Linked DNA regions of Cricetulus griseus. The protein of the gene in region 1 purifies or fractionates together with the protein of each later gene. This does not show direct contact. Links are inferred from orthologs where the notes say so. Each region holds a gene or a part of one and is shown on either strand. Other genes may lie near its edges.

The links.
Region 2: the proteins of Esyt1 (region 1) and Synj2bp purify together in Homo sapiens (affinity purification with mass spectrometry; 4 studies listed by BioGRID and IntAct, with this or other methods). This does not show direct contact. The link is inferred for Cricetulus griseus from reciprocal best matches to the Homo sapiens genes ESYT1 and SYNJ2BP.
Region 3: the proteins of Esyt1 (region 1) and Atl3 purify together in Homo sapiens (affinity purification with mass spectrometry; 3 studies listed by BioGRID and IntAct, with this or other methods). This does not show direct contact. The link is inferred for Cricetulus griseus from reciprocal best matches to the Homo sapiens genes ESYT1 and ATL3.

The regions. Positions count from the first base shown.
Region 1 is NW_023276806.1:129,385,206-129,391,685, forward strand, and holds the end of Esyt1 (extended synaptotagmin-1), read left to right. Parts: coding exon 1-40; intron 41-126; coding exon 127-216; intron 217-293; coding exon 294-389; intron 390-568; coding exon 569-640; intron 641-723; coding exon 724-810; intron 811-1,972; coding exon 1,973-2,113; intron 2,114-2,416; coding exon 2,417-2,571; intron 2,572-2,658; coding exon 2,659-2,757; intron 2,758-2,841; coding exon 2,842-2,973; intron 2,974-3,216; coding exon 3,217-3,322; intron 3,323-3,509; coding exon 3,510-3,559; intron 3,560-3,869; coding exon 3,870-3,909; 3' UTR 3,910-4,281; downstream 4,282-6,480. UniProt on the Homo sapiens protein: Binds calcium (via the C2 domains) and translocates to sites of contact between the endoplasmic reticulum and the cell membrane in response to increased cytosolic calcium levels.
Region 2 is NC_048598.1:122,193,739-122,199,816, reverse strand, and holds part of Synj2bp (synaptojanin-2-binding protein), read right to left. Parts: intron 2,630-6,078; coding exon 2,493-2,629; intron 1-2,492. UniProt on the Homo sapiens protein: Regulates endocytosis of activin type 2 receptor kinases through the Ral/RALBP1-dependent pathway and may be involved in suppression of activin-induced signal transduction.
Region 3 is NC_048596.1:51,912,747-51,918,824, reverse strand, and holds part of Atl3 (atlastin-3), read left to right. Parts: intron 1-1,828; coding exon 1,829-2,043; intron 2,044-2,236; coding exon 2,237-2,377; intron 2,378-6,078. UniProt on the Homo sapiens protein: Atlastin-3 (ATL3) is a membrane-anchored GTPase that mediates the GTP-dependent fusion of endoplasmic reticulum (ER) membranes, maintaining the continuous ER network. It facilitates the formation of three-way junctions where ER tubules intersect.

The DNA of each region.
Region 1 (6,480 bases):
GAGTCTCACCACAGTCCTCAACAGTGGCTTCCTTGATGAGGTGAGCATGAGGTGAGACCCATGCTGCCTCCTCCTCCTCACGCACCTGGTCTCATCCTCAAGACTTTTCCCTGCCTGTCTCCACAGTGGCTGACCCTGGAGGATGTTCCATCTGGCCGCCTGCACTTACGCCTGGAGCGTCTGACCCCTAGACCTACTGCTGCTGAGTTGGAAGAGGTGAGGACACGTGGGGACAGGATGGAGTGGGCTGAGCCCCCTGCCAGCTCCCACCCACGGCCCACTCTGTGTCTCAGGTGCTGCAGGTCAACAGCCTGATCCAGACCCAGAAGAGCTCAGAGCTGGCGGCAGCCCTGCTGTCTGTCTACTTGGAACGGGCAGAAGATCTGCCAGTAAGAGCAGCTCCCCATGCCTCCCAAGAGCAGTTCCCCATTCCTTTGCTTTGGCTTCATAGCCCCTCTTCAGGCTCCCTTGGGTTTGAGTGAGCCTTGGGGGTGGGGGCTATGAAGTGCAAATGGAGATGTGGTTATGCCTTTAATTTGTAAATCTGTGACCCATGCTGTCCCTCCAGCTCCGGAAAGGCACCAAGCCCCCCAGCCCATATGCTACTCTCAGCGTAGGAGAGACTTCCCATAAAACCAAGGTAGGCGCAGATGCTTTGTAACGGGATCCTTCACTGCTAAGAATGAGTGATCACCACTGACCATAACCCCTCTTCTCCAACAGACTGTTTCCCAAACGTCAGCCCCCATCTGGGAGGAGAGTGCCTCATTTCTCATCAGGAAGCCACATGCTGAGAGCCTGGAGCTTCAGGTACTCAACTCACTGCAGACTCCAACCACAGCTATTATAATCCCGGCACTCGGGAGGCAGAGGCATTCCGATCTCTGTGAGTTCGAGGGCAGCCTGGTCTATAAGAGCGAGTGCCAGGATAGGCTCCAAAGCCACAGAGAAACCCTGTCTTGAAACAAACAAACAAAACAAAACAAAATTTTAAAAAAATTATGAGCTGGACAGTGGTGGCCCACACCTTTAATCCCAGCACTCAGGAGGTAGAGTCAGGTGGATCTCTGAGTTCGAGGCCAGCCTGGTCTCCAGAGTGAGTTCTAGGACAGCCATGGCTACACAGAGGGAAAAAAAAAAAAAAAAAAAACAGTAGTGAGACAAAAAATAGAAGGTGTGTGTCATGTCAGCTCTTCTGTAAAGTTAGTAAGAGGGCAGGGAGATGTCAGCATGCATGAAACACAAGCTGGAAAGCCTAACGACCTGAGTTTGTTCTTTGGGACCTACTCCTAAAAGTGGTCTTCTGACAGCTACACTCAGAATCATGACAGTCATGCACTTATAACACTTAATAACATTCAAGTTTAAAAAGTCAGGAAATACTAAGAGATACAGGTGTATATACTAGTTAGAATTATAGAACAAAGCAAATGTTTTAAAATTTTATTTTAAAGGGTGGGTACCACCATGCCTGGCAATTTACTTTTAGTTTTTTTCATTCTTTTTCCCTCTCTGCTGGTACTACTGGTAAACCTGAGAAGGCTTATGAAGTAGAGACTACTTTAAGAAAGGAAAAGCTAGGCTGGGTGGTGGCTCCCGCCTTTTATCCCAGCACCGGGTGTGTATGGGGGTGTGGGAAGTGGGGGTGGGGTGGAGGTGGGGGACCGCAGAGGCAGGCAGATCTCTGTGAGTTCCAAGCCAGTCTGCTCTACAAAGTGAGTTTCAGGACAGCCAGGACTGTTACAGAGAGAAAAGCTAGGCGTGATGGCACACACCTGTAATCCCAGCACTGGGGAGGCAGCCTGGATGAGGCATATTCTCAGAAAGGGGTTTGTAGGGGGCGGGGGTAGGGGGCTAGCAGCTGTAACATTTATTCTGTTCCTCCAAAAGGTGACTCTCTCATCAAAACCACCCAAGTGTTTGGATCATAAATGCTGAGCTTCCATCATTTATCAGTGCATTTACCTCACAGGTTCGGGGTGAAGGGACTGGTACCCTGGGCTCCATATCCCTGCCTCTCTCTGAGCTCCTCCAGGCAGAGCGACTCTGTTTAGACAGATGGTTTGCACTCAGCAGTGGTCAGGGCCAGGTGCTGATGAGAGCGCAGCTAGGGGTAAGTGCTGGGGGGGGCAGGGGAGGGGCAGGAGGGGCTCAGGGCAGGGGGCTCAGGGCAGGGGCAGGAGGGCTCAGGGCCAGGGGAGCTAAGGGAGGGCAGGAGGGCTCAGGGCCAGGGGGGCTCAGGGCAGGGGCAGGAGGGCTCAGGGCAAGGGGGCTCAGGGCAGGGGCAGGAGGGCTCAGGGCAGGGGCAGGGGGACTCAGGGCAGGAGGGCTCAGCGTGGATCAATACCCAAAGGGTGGGAGCAGGGGTGTCCTTCTAGTGAGGAAACTGCCCAGCTCACCGCTCTCCTGTCTCCAGATCCTGGTGTCCCAGCACTCAGGAGTGGAAGCCCACAGCCACAGCTATAGCCACAGCTCTTCTTCACTCAATGAGGAACCCGAGGCCTCAGGGATACCCAGCCACGCCACTTCCCCAGTGCTGGAGGTCAGGCATCGCCTACCACATGGTGACAGGTAAGGGGACTGGGATGGAGATGGTATGCAGGCAAGAATATGAAGTTTGACTCCTAGACGCTATGCTGTCTGTCTGTCTTTCCACAGCCCCTCTGAGGCTCCTGTTGGGCCTCTGGGCCAGGTGAAACTGACAGTGTGGTACCACAGTGATGAACAAAAGCTGGTTAGCATCATCCACAGCTGCCGGTGAGACCCTGCCCACCTGTCCTCCTCTGCAGTCCCCACGTCCTTTGCAACCAGTGCTTCAGTGACCACATCCTTTTGTCACAGGGCCCTTCGACAAAATGGCCGTGATCTCCCAGATCCCTATGTGTCACTGCTGCTACTACCAGACAAGAATCGAGGCACCAAGAGGAAGACCTCACAGAAGAAGAGGACTCTCAACCCCGAGTTCAATGAACGGTCAGTGAATGGGTGATTTATTTTTTCTTCGAGACAGGGTTTCTCTATGGCTTTGGAGGCTGTCCTGGAACTAGCTCTTGTAGAACAGGCTGGTCTCAAACTCACAGAGATCCTCCTGGCTCTGCCTCCTGAGTGCTGGGATTAATGGCGTGTGCGAGAATGGGGGATATTAATGGGTGATATTTACATGGAGGGGTGAGGCTTTGGCTGGGCCCTGAGTTCTAATGTCTAGTGCCTTCACAGGTTTGAGTGGGAGCTGCCCCTGGATGGGTCTCTCAGGAGAAAGCTAGATGTTTCAGTGAAGTCAAACTCTTCTTTCATGTCACGAGAGCGTGAGCTTCTGGGAAAGGTAAGAGGGTGAGGAGGCAGCAAAAATTAAAGCTGCTAGAACCACAGCGTCCCATTAAGGAGACAGCCAGGGTGCCAGCTGGGACATGGTCCTATCCTCTTGCGGTGGTTCATGATCATGTGACAATGGGGTATGGTCTTTGGAAATGTCAAAATAACATCTTGCCCCCTGCCATCCTCCAACCCAGGTACAGCTGGATCTTGCGGAGATAGACCTCTCCCAGGGTGCAGCCCAGTGGTGAGTGTCTACAGAGCAGCGGGTGGGACTGGGTGGGTACAGTGGAGAAACCCAGTCACAGAAGAGGAAAGATGTAGTGAAAGCTGAGAACCATTCGCCCCCTCAGCGCAGAAGCCCTGGGCCATGCCTTTCACTTAGGAGAGATGACAACTGTTCCTGGTGGCTGGTGGCTGTAGTTCCAGCCTATGAGGAGCTGGAGAGTTGAGAGTCCATACAAGTTCCAGCCAGCCTGGGACAGACAGAATGAGACTGACAGAACAAAACAGATGCAAGAGTCTTAACTCTCCTGAGCTCTGTCCTTGTTTCCTAGGTATGACCTGATGGATGACAAAGATAAGGGCAGTTCCTAGGAGCTGGGGACAGCCCGACATTGCTCTGTCTTCTTGCCTTGCCTCTTGCCTCAGTGTGATGAGCCCACAGCTAGGGCTCCAGGGCTGAGCCTGAACCCTTTTGCCTTCTGGGCCCAAATCGGGGTCTTTGCCTGACCAAAGAGAATCATATGTAACCTTTACTGCACGGCCTTTCCCCTTGGGCTCCTGGGGCAGGGACCTAAGCTGGCTACTTCCTCTTCTGCCTGCACCTCACTCTCCCTTCCCGACTCCTCAGGGCCTCATGCACCTGTGCCTGGCCACTGGTAGCACCAGCAGTGGCACCAAATCATGCCAAATACAGCTTTTGGAAAGCTCTTTTTTACATAATAAAAAATATACAGAAAAACAATGCTTCATGAACTTGCATGTCATCCTTGCACAGTGCCATGCTAAGAGCTAAGTTAGTCTGTGCTGCTGAGTTGAGCCTAAGGTTTCCTGTGACTGCCAGGAGCCACCAGGGAGAACAAACACAGGTGTGAAGGTAGGCAGGCTCCGCTCGCCTCTTGGACTGCATGTAGAAAATGTACGGCTTCACCCACACCGTACTCAGTCTACTCTTGGAAAATATACGCGCTATGACGGCTACATCAGTCTGATTCACTGTGCCTCAACTGGGAACACTGAGGTCTGCCTCCAGGCCATTAGAAATTGGCCTGGAAGGGCTGGAGAGATGGCTCAGAGGTTAAGAGTACTGGCTAGTCTTCCAAAGGTCCTGAGTTCAATTCCCAGCAACCACATGGTGGCTCACAACCATCTGTAATGAAATCTGGTGCCCTCTTCTGGCTTGCAGGCACACATGCAGACAGAACACTTTTCTTTAAGAAAAGAAAAAAGAGGCTGGGTGTTGGTGGCACATGCCTTTAATCCCAGCTCTTGGGAGGCAGAGGCAGGCAGATCACTGTGAGTTGGAGGCCAGCCTGGTTTACAAAAGCTAGTTCCAGGACAGCTTCCAAAGCCACAGAGAAATCCTGTCTCAAAACAACAACAACAACAACAACAAAAAAAAAACCAAAAAACAACAACAAAACAAACAAAAAGATCCATTCACTTAGTAGTTAAAGCCTATGAAACTGCAGTAACCAAGGGAATTGGCCCACTGAGCTGGAAAGGGCTCATGTGTGAAGTATCGGAAGGGCAGACTGGAGCTTATCTACTGACCACTGCCGTCTGCCATCCAGAAATCTGCAAGTCCCACCACAGCACCAGGTTCATAAAGTCAAGGATAGCAGCCATATCCAAAGAGGCTTCAGGGCCACCTGAGTCCTGAGAAATATTTCACGTCTGGATCTACTCACCTTGCAAGAGTTATCTTTTCATTTGCTGAAACGGTCTCCTGTACCCCAGGCTGCCAAGGAAGGCTCCAACTTCACGTCTTCCTTCTAAGTGCCGGGATCACAGGTGTGCACTACCACAACTGGCCTGTTTGTCTTAATAAAAAACAAAGCAACAACAGAGTCACATGTTAGCCCAGGCTGGCCTCAAACTCATGGTAGCCCTGCTGCAGCATCCTCCTGGAGAGCTAGAGTTACAAGCATGACCTCTGAGCCATCTCTCTGAGCCATCTCTCCAGCCCAATAATAAATAAATCTTAAGCCGGGTGTTGGTGGTGCACGCCTTTAATCTCAGCACTTGGGAGGCAGAGGCAGGCGAATCTCTGTGAGTTTGAGGCCAGCCTGGTCTACAGAGCGAGTGCCAGGATAGGCTCCAAAGCTACACAGAGAAACCCTGTCTCGAAAAACAAAACAAAACAACAAGAACAACAAAAAGAAGTCTCACTTTGTGGCCCTGGCTGGCCTGGAATTCACAGAGATCTGCCTTAGGGGCAGGAGATCTCTGAGGAGCTCCAGGCCAGCCAAGGCTGTATAGGGGGACCTTGTCTCAAAAACCCAATTTCAAATGAAAGTATTTGAGTTAACTGGACCCCAAGGAAACATCTCCCTTCCGTCATAGCATCTGTTTCAGATCTTTACCATGTTTAGATTCATCTCCTCCCCTTCCTCCTTAGCAAGTCAAATCCCCTCACCGACTTCAGGGTGAAAATGTAAACGGTATGCATGGAAATGCTCCCATCCCTCAGGTCTCTTGTGTCCCTGGACACTAACTGTAGTGTGATATCAGCTCTTGACTTTCTCCAGGTATCCATTCATTCTACAAATATTTCAGGACTGCAATGGACCAGGGGACCTGGTTCTTCTTGATTGTGGACGGTAACTGTGTATGCATGTTCGAGCATGCGTGTGCATGGTGGAAGAGTGCATAAGAGACCAAGGGAATAGCCAGAAATAGGTGGCCCACGCCTTAATCCCAGCACTCGGGAGGCAGAGGCAGGCAGATCTCTGTGAGTTCAAGGCCAGCCTGGTCTACAGAGTGAGTGCCAGGATAGGCTCCAAAGCTATACAGAGAAACCCTGTCTCCAAAAACAAAAACAAACAAACAAAAAGACCAAGGGAACAACCTGAGCAACCAAGATGGTTATCTTAAAGATCTGCAGGCTACTGGGCGTGGCTGGACAGCAATGCAGACAGTACAGGAACTAAATGTTTGAAGCTG
Region 2 (6,078 bases), on another chromosome or scaffold:
TGACTTCATCAAGCCTCAGTTTCCTTAGCTGGAAAATGTGCATAATCATTATACCCATTATATTATACTCTAATATTAAAACCCACTATATTATACTATAATATTAAACAAGATTACATTAAAAGTTGTCATTTGTGCTTAAAAATTGCTTATAATTCTTTTTTAGATAACCTGCCTTTAAGCAGAGATTTCCAAACATGCCTCTCTCTTTAAGCCTTATACTGAACCCTATACTTTTCAAATTTCTCTTCACTCAAGGGGATAGTGTTTGAGAGATTGTGATTTCTGTGTAAAATACTAATTACACACTGTACCTTTAACAACCCACTCACAGTTTTTCTTATTTCTACTACTGCAAAGTTGGTTTGTATTTTACAATGTCTTTCTTCTGAGAATGACAAAATACCTGTTCCTAAATTCTTCATTATTAATCACTATCCCTATCTTGCAGTCTAATGTAGAAGGACTAGGAAAAGCTTCATGGGCTGAAACATGCCAAACAGTCAGTGAGATGGACCAAAATAATGCCATCCATGGCACTTATATATTGAACACATTCTTAAGATTCTTAATTTATAAGCTTTCATAACTACTTGTCCTGGATTTATGTGTATCTCTTTTTTGAGACAGGATCTTGCTAAGTAATTCACAATTGACTTGAACTCAAAATGTTCCTGCTTTACCTTTTGAGTATGGGAGGACTTTAGGTGTGTGTCCCCATGCCTGGCTTCCTAAGGAGACATTCAAAACTGAACCAGATCTCTCAAATCTTATATGTCAAATGAAAAAAAAAAAGGTATACATTCTTCCTGTCTTCATATACTGCTACCAAATGAACTGAATGGCAGGGAAGTATCCACCCAATAAGCTAGCATCTAAGATGACCAGGAGACTTCACATATACGACTTTTATCACTAATCAAATGAACTCTATGACAGGTAATTCAAAAGAGAAAATCCAAAACAAAACTGTAATAAGAACTTTAAAAAGAATATTGCTGTTTTATGGAAGTTCTAAATCAAGTCTCTGATATAATAATTATCTCTTAATCAAATCTTGTCTTGGTCTACTCTTCATTTACTTCAGCCTTTTACCAGTTTAGCCCTCTTGCCCTATTCAATTCAAGAGGCAAAGTAGGAAACAGTTTTTCTTCTTTAGACCACAGCACATGAGGAAACAGGGCACTTCTGCTAAAAGTCCTATCGGACTTCAAATTTCTCTTAATTTGAGGACAGCCCTTTGTAGCCAGGTCTAACTCCCAGGAAATCCTTGATAATAATTCACCCTCTCAGTACTTTCCCATTCTTTATACCAATTATGTGTGTTATTTCCATACAAATAAGCTGAAAAATAACAGCCCAAAACATTAATTTTAAAAAATCTATAGCATGATCTAACCTTTCCCAACTTCCACAACTAATAGTATAATAATGACACTATAGTCAGTAAGGTAGAACAGAAATGAAAACATGCATCCAGGAATAAGAGTTTTATTTTGCCTGAATTCTGATTTACTTTAGAAACATTCAATTTATTCTAAAACTAAGGTTCTGGACCTGGAGAGATGGCTCAGCAGTTAAAAACATGTAGTGCTCTTTCTGAGGACCTGAGTTCAGTTCCTAGCAATCACATGGGACAACTTATAATTGCCTGTAACTCAAGCTCCAGGAGGATCAATACCTCTTGCTTCCATGGGCACCAGCACTCATGTGCACATATGCCCCTACACACACACACACACACACACTAATAATAATAATAATAATAACAAAAAAATTTAAAGGCTAAGGGACTGAGCCCATATGACTGTATTAGTTAGTCAACCTTTCTAAGCTTGCATGAATTTTCTCATTTGTTAAAAGCCTATGTTGAGCACTGTACTAAGACATGGAAAGGTTTTTTTTTTAATTTAATTACTGTCTTTGAGTAGATAAAAAAATGAATAAAATTCATGATTAGTAAGAGACATTAACAGGATGAAATGGGAGCACAACTGACAGATATACAAACTCTATTTCAATTTTTCATCTTAATAATGGGAAAGGGCCCTGATTTTAAGGAAGAAACTTAATCCTTACCTCTTTTTTTGAAGTTAAGACAATTACTAAGGGCTGACAATATGACAAGACAAGGCAAAAATCAGTAGTTTAATCAACAAAACAGAGGTGATAAAGTTAACTAGAGAAAGGTGAAAACTGTGAGCTTAACTCTTCCTCCAAACCAGTGCTTCATCTCTACTTGCTTTGTGTTTTTTGAACTAGGGCAAGTAACTTCACATTCTATGTTAAATTTGCCTTGTCTGTCAAACAAGAATAATATTATCCTCCAAGCCCAGTAGTAAAGTTGAAAGATTGATCAATGTTCTTCCCATTCAATGATACAATTTAGGTATTTTCATTTTCAAACAGGCAGGCTAGAATCTTCCCAAGGAAGGGGTCAGAGGAGGTCAGGGGAGCAAAGTATAGCAAAGGGAGCCGAAGGCATTTCTCACCGAGAGGATCTTATCACCCTCCTGGAGCCGCCCATCCCGGGCTGCAGCCCCATCCTCTTTGATGCGGCTGACGTAGATGCCACTGTCGTTGGAGACATACTGTTGATCTGTCCCACCGACGATGTTGAAGCCCAGCCCTGAGAAAATCATGGAGGAGTGAAGGAGAGGGGGATGAAGAAGAAAGAAAGATTAGAGAAGAAAGGAGAGCAACATGGTCTAGTGGGGAGGAGAAGCTGACAATTCAGACTGTGAGGTAGCTAACACAGTCATTAGCAAAGTCATTATCAACAAAGGCCAAAGTACCTACACTGCTGACTTGAAATAGGCAGCACTCAGTACATACACAGTGATCAAAAGGACTAGTCAAATACACTGAGCTCTACACAGTGTGGGACACAGTAATGCGGAGTCTTGTAAGGTAGAAGTGCATCTGCTCACACTTGATTTTGATGCTGTTGGTGACATTCAGATGACCCAAATCCTGGTATTCCTATATTAATGTAACAGGGTTAGCTGTGCTCATAAAAAGAAGTTTTGTTTCTTAAACTAATTATCAAACAAAATGTTATCAATTTAGTGAGAAAATAACTGCTAGTTGAAGCCTCTCCTTCACATGTGTTTTCTATCAAGATCTGGGAACACCTATATATGCTACTGTTTTGGAAAAAGCAATCTTGGTAGTTTATCTTTTCTATTTTGTACTGGGGTAGGACAGTAGTGATGTGGTTGTTAGCAGGAAACTGCAGAACTAGAAAAACAATTGTTCTTTGCAAGAGAATCAAGTCACCAAATTCACTCTTTTCTTTCTATGTCAAGTACAACTGATCACATACCTGCACACAATGATAGCCAGAAAAAAAATAATTCCTTACTGATTTGCAGTTAGGTACTTCCCTCCTCCTGTTGTTCTCCATGCTATGCCTTGTTTCTCTGAGTTTAATTAGTTTACAAGAGTAAAATATTTCAGTTACAGAAGAAAAGTTCTAGAGATCTGCTGTACAAGACTGTGTCTACCCAAAATAATAGCATATGGTTTATTTTCAAATTTGTTAATACAGCATATCTAAGTATCCTTATTATAATAAAATACAGCAGGCAAACAAGTTAGCTGGATAACTAATTACAATTTTGTTTTCATGAACCAGTCACTAAGCTGTGACAAGGATTTTACTCTACAGAAATCATTTATTTCTTTGAGGAAACATACAAAACTTGTATGTAAAAAAGGAAAAAACAGGGAGAGAAGGGGAAGAAAGAAAACAAAAAGAAATAAAGAGAGAAAAAGGAACCTCACTTCTTTATGTAGCTGCAGTCATAACTCAGGGACACAGTACAAAGAGAAGGAAGACAGTTGGAAACAATTTAAAAAACAAAAACATATTGGTGCAGTGGGAAGGGAAAGCCAGTCGCAAGTCTCCTAATGATCTCAGTAGAAAATATATCACAAAAGAGATATATGTGGGCTGTCTCTAAAGTTCTTTCCATGGGTAGAATGAAGCTAAGAATCAAAGTACCAACACAGCACCATCAAACCAATCCACAATTTAATGAGAAATTTCACAAAGAGGAAACATCAGGAAGTTTATGATTTAAGGAGCATACCTTGTACATGGAGTCTCTGCCACCAGATAGGTTTGTGGTTTTTGTTTGCATTCGTTTGGGGATTTATGGTACACAACAGAAAGAACTACTTCTAGAAGACTGTTTTCATAGCCCTGAAGGGTAGGGTGGGAAAAACAGGAACTCTAAATTATTTATTCATTTTTCACATAATTCCCTGAAGTTAAATTCATGAATGTAGGTTAAGTGGGGAGGGGCTGGTAAGGTAGCAAAAACCAGATCATGGAAGGCTTCATAAAGACTTAAAAATACTGACAGGTTTGAGCAAGGGCTGAGGACAATCAGTTTCTCTCACTGCTGAAACAAACTACAGAAAAATCTTCCACTGAAATTCAACATTTTCACTATGGTTTGAGTCTTATCACCAAACAGCTTCTATCTTTGCAAATCTTGAGAATGAAGAACAAATGTGAAGTGGCCAAATGAAACACAGTGATTTGCCAAATGGACTTTGTTACAGGTTATTTAAAGCTATAGAACAGCATCTAAAAAGCGGTAAAAGAAACCTTACTGAGATCTATTATTCGAAAGTGCAGTCTATTATTTATCCCCTAATACCACATCACAGTGGTACATTTACTTAACACATTGTTATTTCTGTTCAAGTAAACCAAACCACTTAAAATAAGAACTCTTAGATTAACTAAAGAACTTTTCATAAATGAACTTATCTATACCTTAAAACTTTGCAGGAATGAATGAGTTACCATAGCAGTGAGTAGTGACATTACAGTTCATCCTTGGGGCTGTGATAGAGCACTTGCCTAGCATGCTGAGCAATACCTAGTACTGCCAATAAACAGATGAAATCTTAGCAATATATGTATTTAGATACTTGCTAGTCTATTTGTTCAATAAAAATCACTGATCATTTACAAGTGGTCAGCTACTATACTATTTCCTGGTAAAGACAGAAAGCAAAATTGAACTAACCTATTCGGTTCTGACTTTAACCACAAACAAGTGTATCCTTTTCCCTGTCATTTAAGATACTGCATAAATCAGAAGAATTAGTTTCAAGTTCAACTTCATAACTTACCAGATGTGAACTGAAGCAAATCAGTTTAAGTCTGATTTCCTTTCTTTTCTAGAAAATAAGGATTATGAATTCTATCCTCTCTCCCTCAAAGGTAACTGTTAAGACCCCAGTAATAAAATCTGAAAAACAGTAATTGTAGACCCTTCCTGCCACCAAATCCCCCAGAAGGACCTGGAGGCAGAACAAAGCATCCAGCATCAGCAGCCTGTCTTGCCTCTGCACCCTCCAGGAGAGAGGAGAGGATACAGCCTTGAACCCATACCCACCAGAGGAGGGAGAGACCCCACCTGTACCCCCTGGAAGAAGGGATGGGAAGATGACAGAATAAGAACACATTCAACATCAGAAAGACTTATATGATACCACCAGAGTCTAGGGATTCTACACCAGCAAGACCTAAACATCCCAACACAGATGAAGCGGGAAAAGAGCAACCTTAAAAACAACTTCATGAAAATGACAGAGGCCCTTAAAGAGACTATGAGAAAATCCCTTAAAGAAATGGAAGAAAAAACAAACAAAAATGCAAGAATCAACAAATCTCTTAAAGAGAGCAAGGAGAGAGAAAAAAAATCAAACAGATGAAGGAAACAATTCCCTAACAACTCAAGACCTGAAAACTAAAATTCAGACAAGAAAACACAAACTGAGGGAATGATGGAAATAGAAGAGCTGGGTAAACAATCAGGAACTACAGATGGCAAGCATAACCAACAGAATAAAAGAGATGGAAGAGAGAATCTTAGGCACTGAAGATAAACTAGAAGAAATAGATTAATCAACCAAAGAAAGCCTTAATTCCAAAAAAATCCTTAACACTAAATATCCAGGAAATATGGGACACCTCGAAAAGGCCAAACCTAAGAATAATAGGTATAGAAGAAGACGAGGAAGACTATCTCAAAGGTGCAGAAAACATATTCAACA
Region 3 (6,078 bases), on another chromosome or scaffold:
TGTGTGTGTGTGTGTGTGTGTGTGTGTGTGTGTGTGTGTGTGTTTGTGTTTGCATGTATGTGTAGGTACATTTGGAGCCCACGGCTGACATAAGGACTCATACTCGATTAAACTCTTAAACCTTATTTGTTGAGTTAGGGTCTCTTGAACCCAAAGTACAGCAATATAGCTAGTCTAGCTAGCCAGCTTGCTCTGGGGAATCTGCCTTCTGAGGGTAGACCCTGGGTTCTGGGATCTTAATTTTGGTCCTCAAGCACCTTAACTTCAGCCATTTTTTGTTTTTGTTTGTTTTTTTAGCTTTATGTTTTTTAAAAGATTTATTTTATGTGTATGGGTGTTTTGCTTGCATGTATGTCTGTGCTCTATGTGCATATCTGACACTGCTCAAAATAGAGTGCTGAATCCCCTTTGACAGGAGTCACAGACAGTTATGAGATGTCACGTTGGTGCTGGGAATTGAATCTGGGTCCTCTGGAAGAGCAACAAGGGCTCTTAAACAGCTGAGCCATAACTCCAGCTTCTGTTTTTATTGGTTTTCAGTTTTTTTTTTGTTTTTTTTTTTTTTTTTTTTTTTTGAGACAGGGTTTCTTTGTGTAACAGTCCTGGTTGTCCTGGATCTCACTGTGTAGATCAGGCTGGCCTTGAACTCACAGAGATCTGCCTGCCTCTACTTTCCGAGAGTTGGGATTAAAGACATGTGCCACTTGCCTGATTCATATCCTTTTTACTGGTATCTTCTTTTAAATATTTTTATTACATTTTGTGTTGGTATGTATGTGTGTGAGTACATATGTTCCATGGTGTGCATATGGAGGTCAGAGAACAACTTAACAAGTCTCTTCTCTCCTTCTGTATCGAAATCAGGCCATTTCAGGCTCTTTACATCTTTTTAAAAATATTTTTGGGGTCAGTGAGATAGTTCATCTGATAAAAATACTTGAATGCTTGGATTCCATGGTGGAAGGAGGAAAGAACAGTTCTGAAAGTTGTCCTGTGATCTCCACTTTAACATTAGCACATGTTCATTATGTGTAATATTTGGTTTCATGATAGCATTTTCATACATATATAGTATATTTACATTTTCTTTTCCTTGGTTTTTGTTTGTTTGTTTGTTTGTTTTTCCAGACAAGGTTTCTCTGTGTAGCATTGGAGGCTGTCCTGGAACTTACTCTGTAGACCAGGCTGGCCTCTAACTCAGTGAGGTCTTCTTGCCTCTGCCTCCCAAGTGCTGGGATTAAAGGCGTGCTCCACTACCGCTGGGCTGATAGATCCAGTCTTGCCCAGCTCTTGTGCTGGTAGTCACAGCTGCTATGAAATGGAGTGCAGGTGTGATGCCATGTATTGAGAAGACATTCCACCTCATGCTGCTCTGTGTTCTGCCTCTTAATATTCTTTCTCTCTTGTCTTCCATGGCAGAGGAGGTGATACAGATTCTCCTATGGCTGAATGTTCAACAGCCCTTTATTTTCAACTCTCTGATCAGTTATGAATGAGTCTCTGCAGTTTCTGCTGTTACTGGGGCATTTTTTTTTAGTGTGAGCGAGTGTGTGTGTGTTTAGCACACAGGCACACACATCCCGCATGTGGGAATCAGAGGACAGCTTTGGGTGTTGGTTCTCTTCTTTAAGCATGTGGACCTTGAGGACTGAACTCAGGTCCTCTTGCAGGCCCCTGGGGTCTTTTAATTAATGAATATTCTTAGTGTTAATTAGTACCCTCACATACTCTCTTTTATGGTTATCATATATGTACCTTGTTAAAGCTTTTGTTCTCTTCATGGTGTGTGTGTGTAAAACTTAATTTTTTGGTCTTTAAATGTGCATAGGTGATGCCATGGAGAGTGGAAAACCTGGTCCAGTGCAAGTTGTTTTGGTTCACAAAGAGCAGCATTCCTTTGAGCTAGAAGAGAGTGCCTTGGCCAGCATCCTCCTGCAGGATCACATCCGAGATCTTGATGTGGTAGTAGTATCAGTGGCTGGCGCCTTTCGAAAGGGCAAATCCTTCGTTCTGGACTTTATGCTCCGATACTTATATGCTCAGGTAAGGAAGAATTAGTTTATTTCAAAGTAGAAAGTGAGCAAAATAAGCTCATTACTTAAGATTTGGTGAGAGGTCTGGGCATGTAGTGTAATGATAAAGTGCTTGCCCAATGTGTGTAAAGCCCTGTGTTTTATCTCCAGTGCTTCAGAAAGCAAAACCAAAGATGTAGTAGAACGTCTTATTTCTTTTGTAGAAAGTTGGTCATTCAAATTGGTTGGGTGACCCAGAAGAACCACTGACAGGATTTTCATGGCGAGGAGGCTCTGACCCAGAAACCACTGGGATTCAGATTTGGAGTGAAGTTTTCACTGTGGAGAAGCCAGGTGGGAAAAAGGTAAGGATATTAAAAAAATAAAAGAAAGAAAAAGACTGAGATGTTAAAACAGAATAACCAAATGAAACTTAACATTTGTTTTTTCTTGATAGTGGGTCTGGAACTCACTAGGTACCATAGGCTGGCCTTGAATCCTGAGAACCCTGCCTCAGCCACTTTTGTGCTGTGATCATAGGAGCATACTACCAGACTTGGTTCTAGATGAGAACTTTGACATATTCTGTGTTAATTCAATCAAAAAATACTTTTGATCTTTTATGTCCATGGTAATTTCTATGTCCTAATGTAATTGCTTTTCTTTTTTTTTTTTTTTGTTTTAAAGATTTATTTATTATGTATGCAGCGTTCTGCCTACATGCCATAAGATGGCACCATGTCTCAATATAGGTGGTTGTGAGCCATCATGTGGTTGCTGGGAATTGAACTCTGAACCTCTGGAATAGCAGCCAGTGCTCTTAACCTGTGAGCTATCTCTCCAGCAGCTGTAATTGCTTTTCTGTTTTTTTTTTTTTTTTTTTTTTTTTTTGACAGTAAATCCTACAATGTACTGTCTAGCTCCTTTACTAAGTAGAAATGTTGATTCAGGGAGGTATCAGTATATATTTTATAATTAAAATGTTTGCTTTGTAAAATTGACTACTCATCCAAACCTCCCTTCCATCTTTGAATTCCTTTTAATGAAAAAGCCTCTCTGCTGTTTAAAAAAAAAAAAAAAAAGGTGTTATAAAACAAAAGAAATCAGGCGTTGGTGGTGCAAGCCTTTAATCCCAGCACTCGGGAGGCAGAGGCAGAGGCAGGTGGATCTCTGTGAGTTTGAGGCCAGCCTGGTCTCCAGAGCGAGTGCCAGGATAGAAACCCTGTCTTGAAAAACCAAAAACCAACCAACCAAACAAACAAAAAACAAAAGAAAGCAACTATTAGGCTATATGTAGGAGGGCTACCACTTGGAGGCCAGCCTGGGCTTCCTCTTTTTTTTTTTTTAGTTTTTCGAGACAGGGTTTCTCTGTGTAGCTTTGGAGTCTGTCCTGGCACTCCCTCTGTAGACCAGGCTGGCTTTGAACTCAAGAGATTGGCCTGCTTCTGCCTCCTGAGTGCTGGGATTAAAGTCGTGCACCACCACCTCCCAGCCAGCCTGGGCTGTTTAAAATGTACATAAAGGAGCTTTGGCATGGTGACTTATACCTGTAATCCCTATACTCAAGAGGCTGAAGTAGGAAGATTGGCACACATTTGAGGTCAGCATGGGCTATAAATTGTGGGACACTGTTTCACAAACAACAAAAAAGTGATTTGGAAGTTTTACTGTGCTAGTGTGTGCTGTGAGACCATTTCTCTCAATGGTGAGTACACATGTAGCTTCTGCTCTTCAGAGAGCTTGAACATAGCCCCTTGTTTCCTCTATAGTCTCAATTTTCTAATTGACAGATACGTGTGACAGTGAACTTTTGTTAAATTGGGATATCATGCTGATTCAGAATTCATTCTGATTCAGTGGTTTTTATATACATAGAGCTGAACAGGTGTCATCACCATCTGACTCCAGAACATTTCACTACCTCAGAAGAAGCCTCCATTATTGTCAGCAGTCACTGTCCATTCCATCTTCTTCCAGCCCCTTGTCTCTCTAATTTACTGTTGACTGAGCTGTTAGGAAGTACGGCTGAATGGAGAGCTAGGTGTGCTTGTATTCACCCTCCTTTCTCTCCCTTTGTGTTTTCTCCCTTTCCCTGCCTTCCTGTCTTTTCTGATATTGGGGATTGAACCTAGTGCTATGTGTATGCCAGGCAAATGTTCTAGCTCTTGGTTACATCTCTAGCATCTCCATGGAGCTGTCTATTCTAAGCATATGATACAAATGAAATTATATGCTTTTTGGGTCTGTCCTCTCCATTCATCCTAATTCTCTTATAGCATTCAATAGTTCTTTATTCCCTTTCATGGCTGAACAGTAAGTATTACATTGTATGAAAATACCATACTTTTTTTTATTTATCAGTTGTGAATGTTCGGGCTGCTTATTATAAATAATGCTGCCTGTACATGCCTCTAATATTAGTACTTGGGAGGCTGAGGCATGAGTTTCAGGGTAGCTTGGACTGCAATGTGAGATTCTGTCTAAACTAACTTCTACCCTAAAATAAACAAAAACCCAGAGCTGGGGAGTTGGCTCAGTGGCTCAAGTGCATTTGTTGCTGTTCTTTTAGAGGACCTGGGATTGATTCCCAGCCCCCACATAGTGTCTTAAAACCATCTGTAATTCCAGTCTCAGGGTGTCCAGTACCCTCTTGTAACCTCAGTGGGCACCACACATGTGGTGCACAGATATACATGCAAATGAAACAGTCATATACATAAAATAATAAACGCATCTCCAAACCTTATAAAAATACTACCTGGCACCGAGTGGTGGTGGTGCATGCCTTTAATTCCAGCACTCGGGAGGCAGAGGCAGGCGGATCTCTATGAGTTCGAGGCCAGTCTGGTCTACAGAGCGAGTGCCAGGACAGGCTCCAAAGCTACACAGAGAAACCCTGTCTCGAAAAACAAAAAAACAAACAAACAAAAAAATACTACCTGCCTTGAACATGTATGTATAAATTTTTCTAAGATTGAAGCTTTCTTGTGTATATCCAAGTGTTTGCTTTTTGTGTCTGTGACAAATAGCTGAGATACACAACTTAAGGGAGGAAAGATTTATTTCTGTCACAACTTGAGGATTTTCAGTCCTCAGCTGTTCACTGCTGTGACCTGAGGCTAAGCTGAACATGACGGGAAGCATGTGATGAGGTAGGGTTGAGTATCATGGTGGGAAGCCAGTGGTGGAGCAGAGCTTGCTTTGCAGTGGACAGGAAGCTGGAGACAGACAGGAGGGGCCAGGCAAACATATGCCTCGGAGTTGTGTCCAAAGTCCCTAATACTCGTTCAATATGAACTCGTCAGTGGGTCACCATTAATGAGCTGAGTGCCCTCACACTGCAGTTACCTCTTAATATGAGATTCAGCAGCTGAGGACTTAAGTCCTCTCAGCAAAAGAGCTTGGGGAAAAATGCTGTGTGTGTTTCTGTGTCACATGGCAATTCTGTAACTAACTTAATTATTATTTTTTAATTTATTATTTTTTATGTGTATGGGTTAGTTATTCCTGCATGTATTTCTGTACACCATGTGCATGCAGTGCCTATAGAAGCCAGAAGAGGGCATTAGATCCTCTGAACCAGGGTTTTGGATGGTTGTGAGCCCTGTATGTCGATGCTGGGAATCAAACTAAGGTCATCTGGAAGAGCAGCCAGTGCTCCTAACCACTGAATTACTCCAGCCTGTGACTACTTTAAAAAAGATGCCTAATACCTTCTAAAGAGAGCTCTACTAACCTATGTGCAAATTAGCCATGCAGGAAGCTCTAGTTTCTACATCTTTCCAGTCCCTGATACTGTTTTTTTTTTTTTTCTTTTGAGTGGGATAGATTTAAAATCAAAGCTGGCCTCCAATTTGATACCTTAGTCTCCTGAGTCCTGGGATTACAGGTGTGCCCCAATATGCTTGGTTTATTTGTCCTTTTAATGTATGTTAACTTATTGATGGCCTTGTATACACTTCTGAATAGCCCCAGATCCTTCTTTGTCTTAAGACCTCTCTCTCTCTCTCTCTCTCTCTCTCTCTCTCTCTCTCTCTCTCTCTCTGTGTGTGTGTGTGTGTGTGTG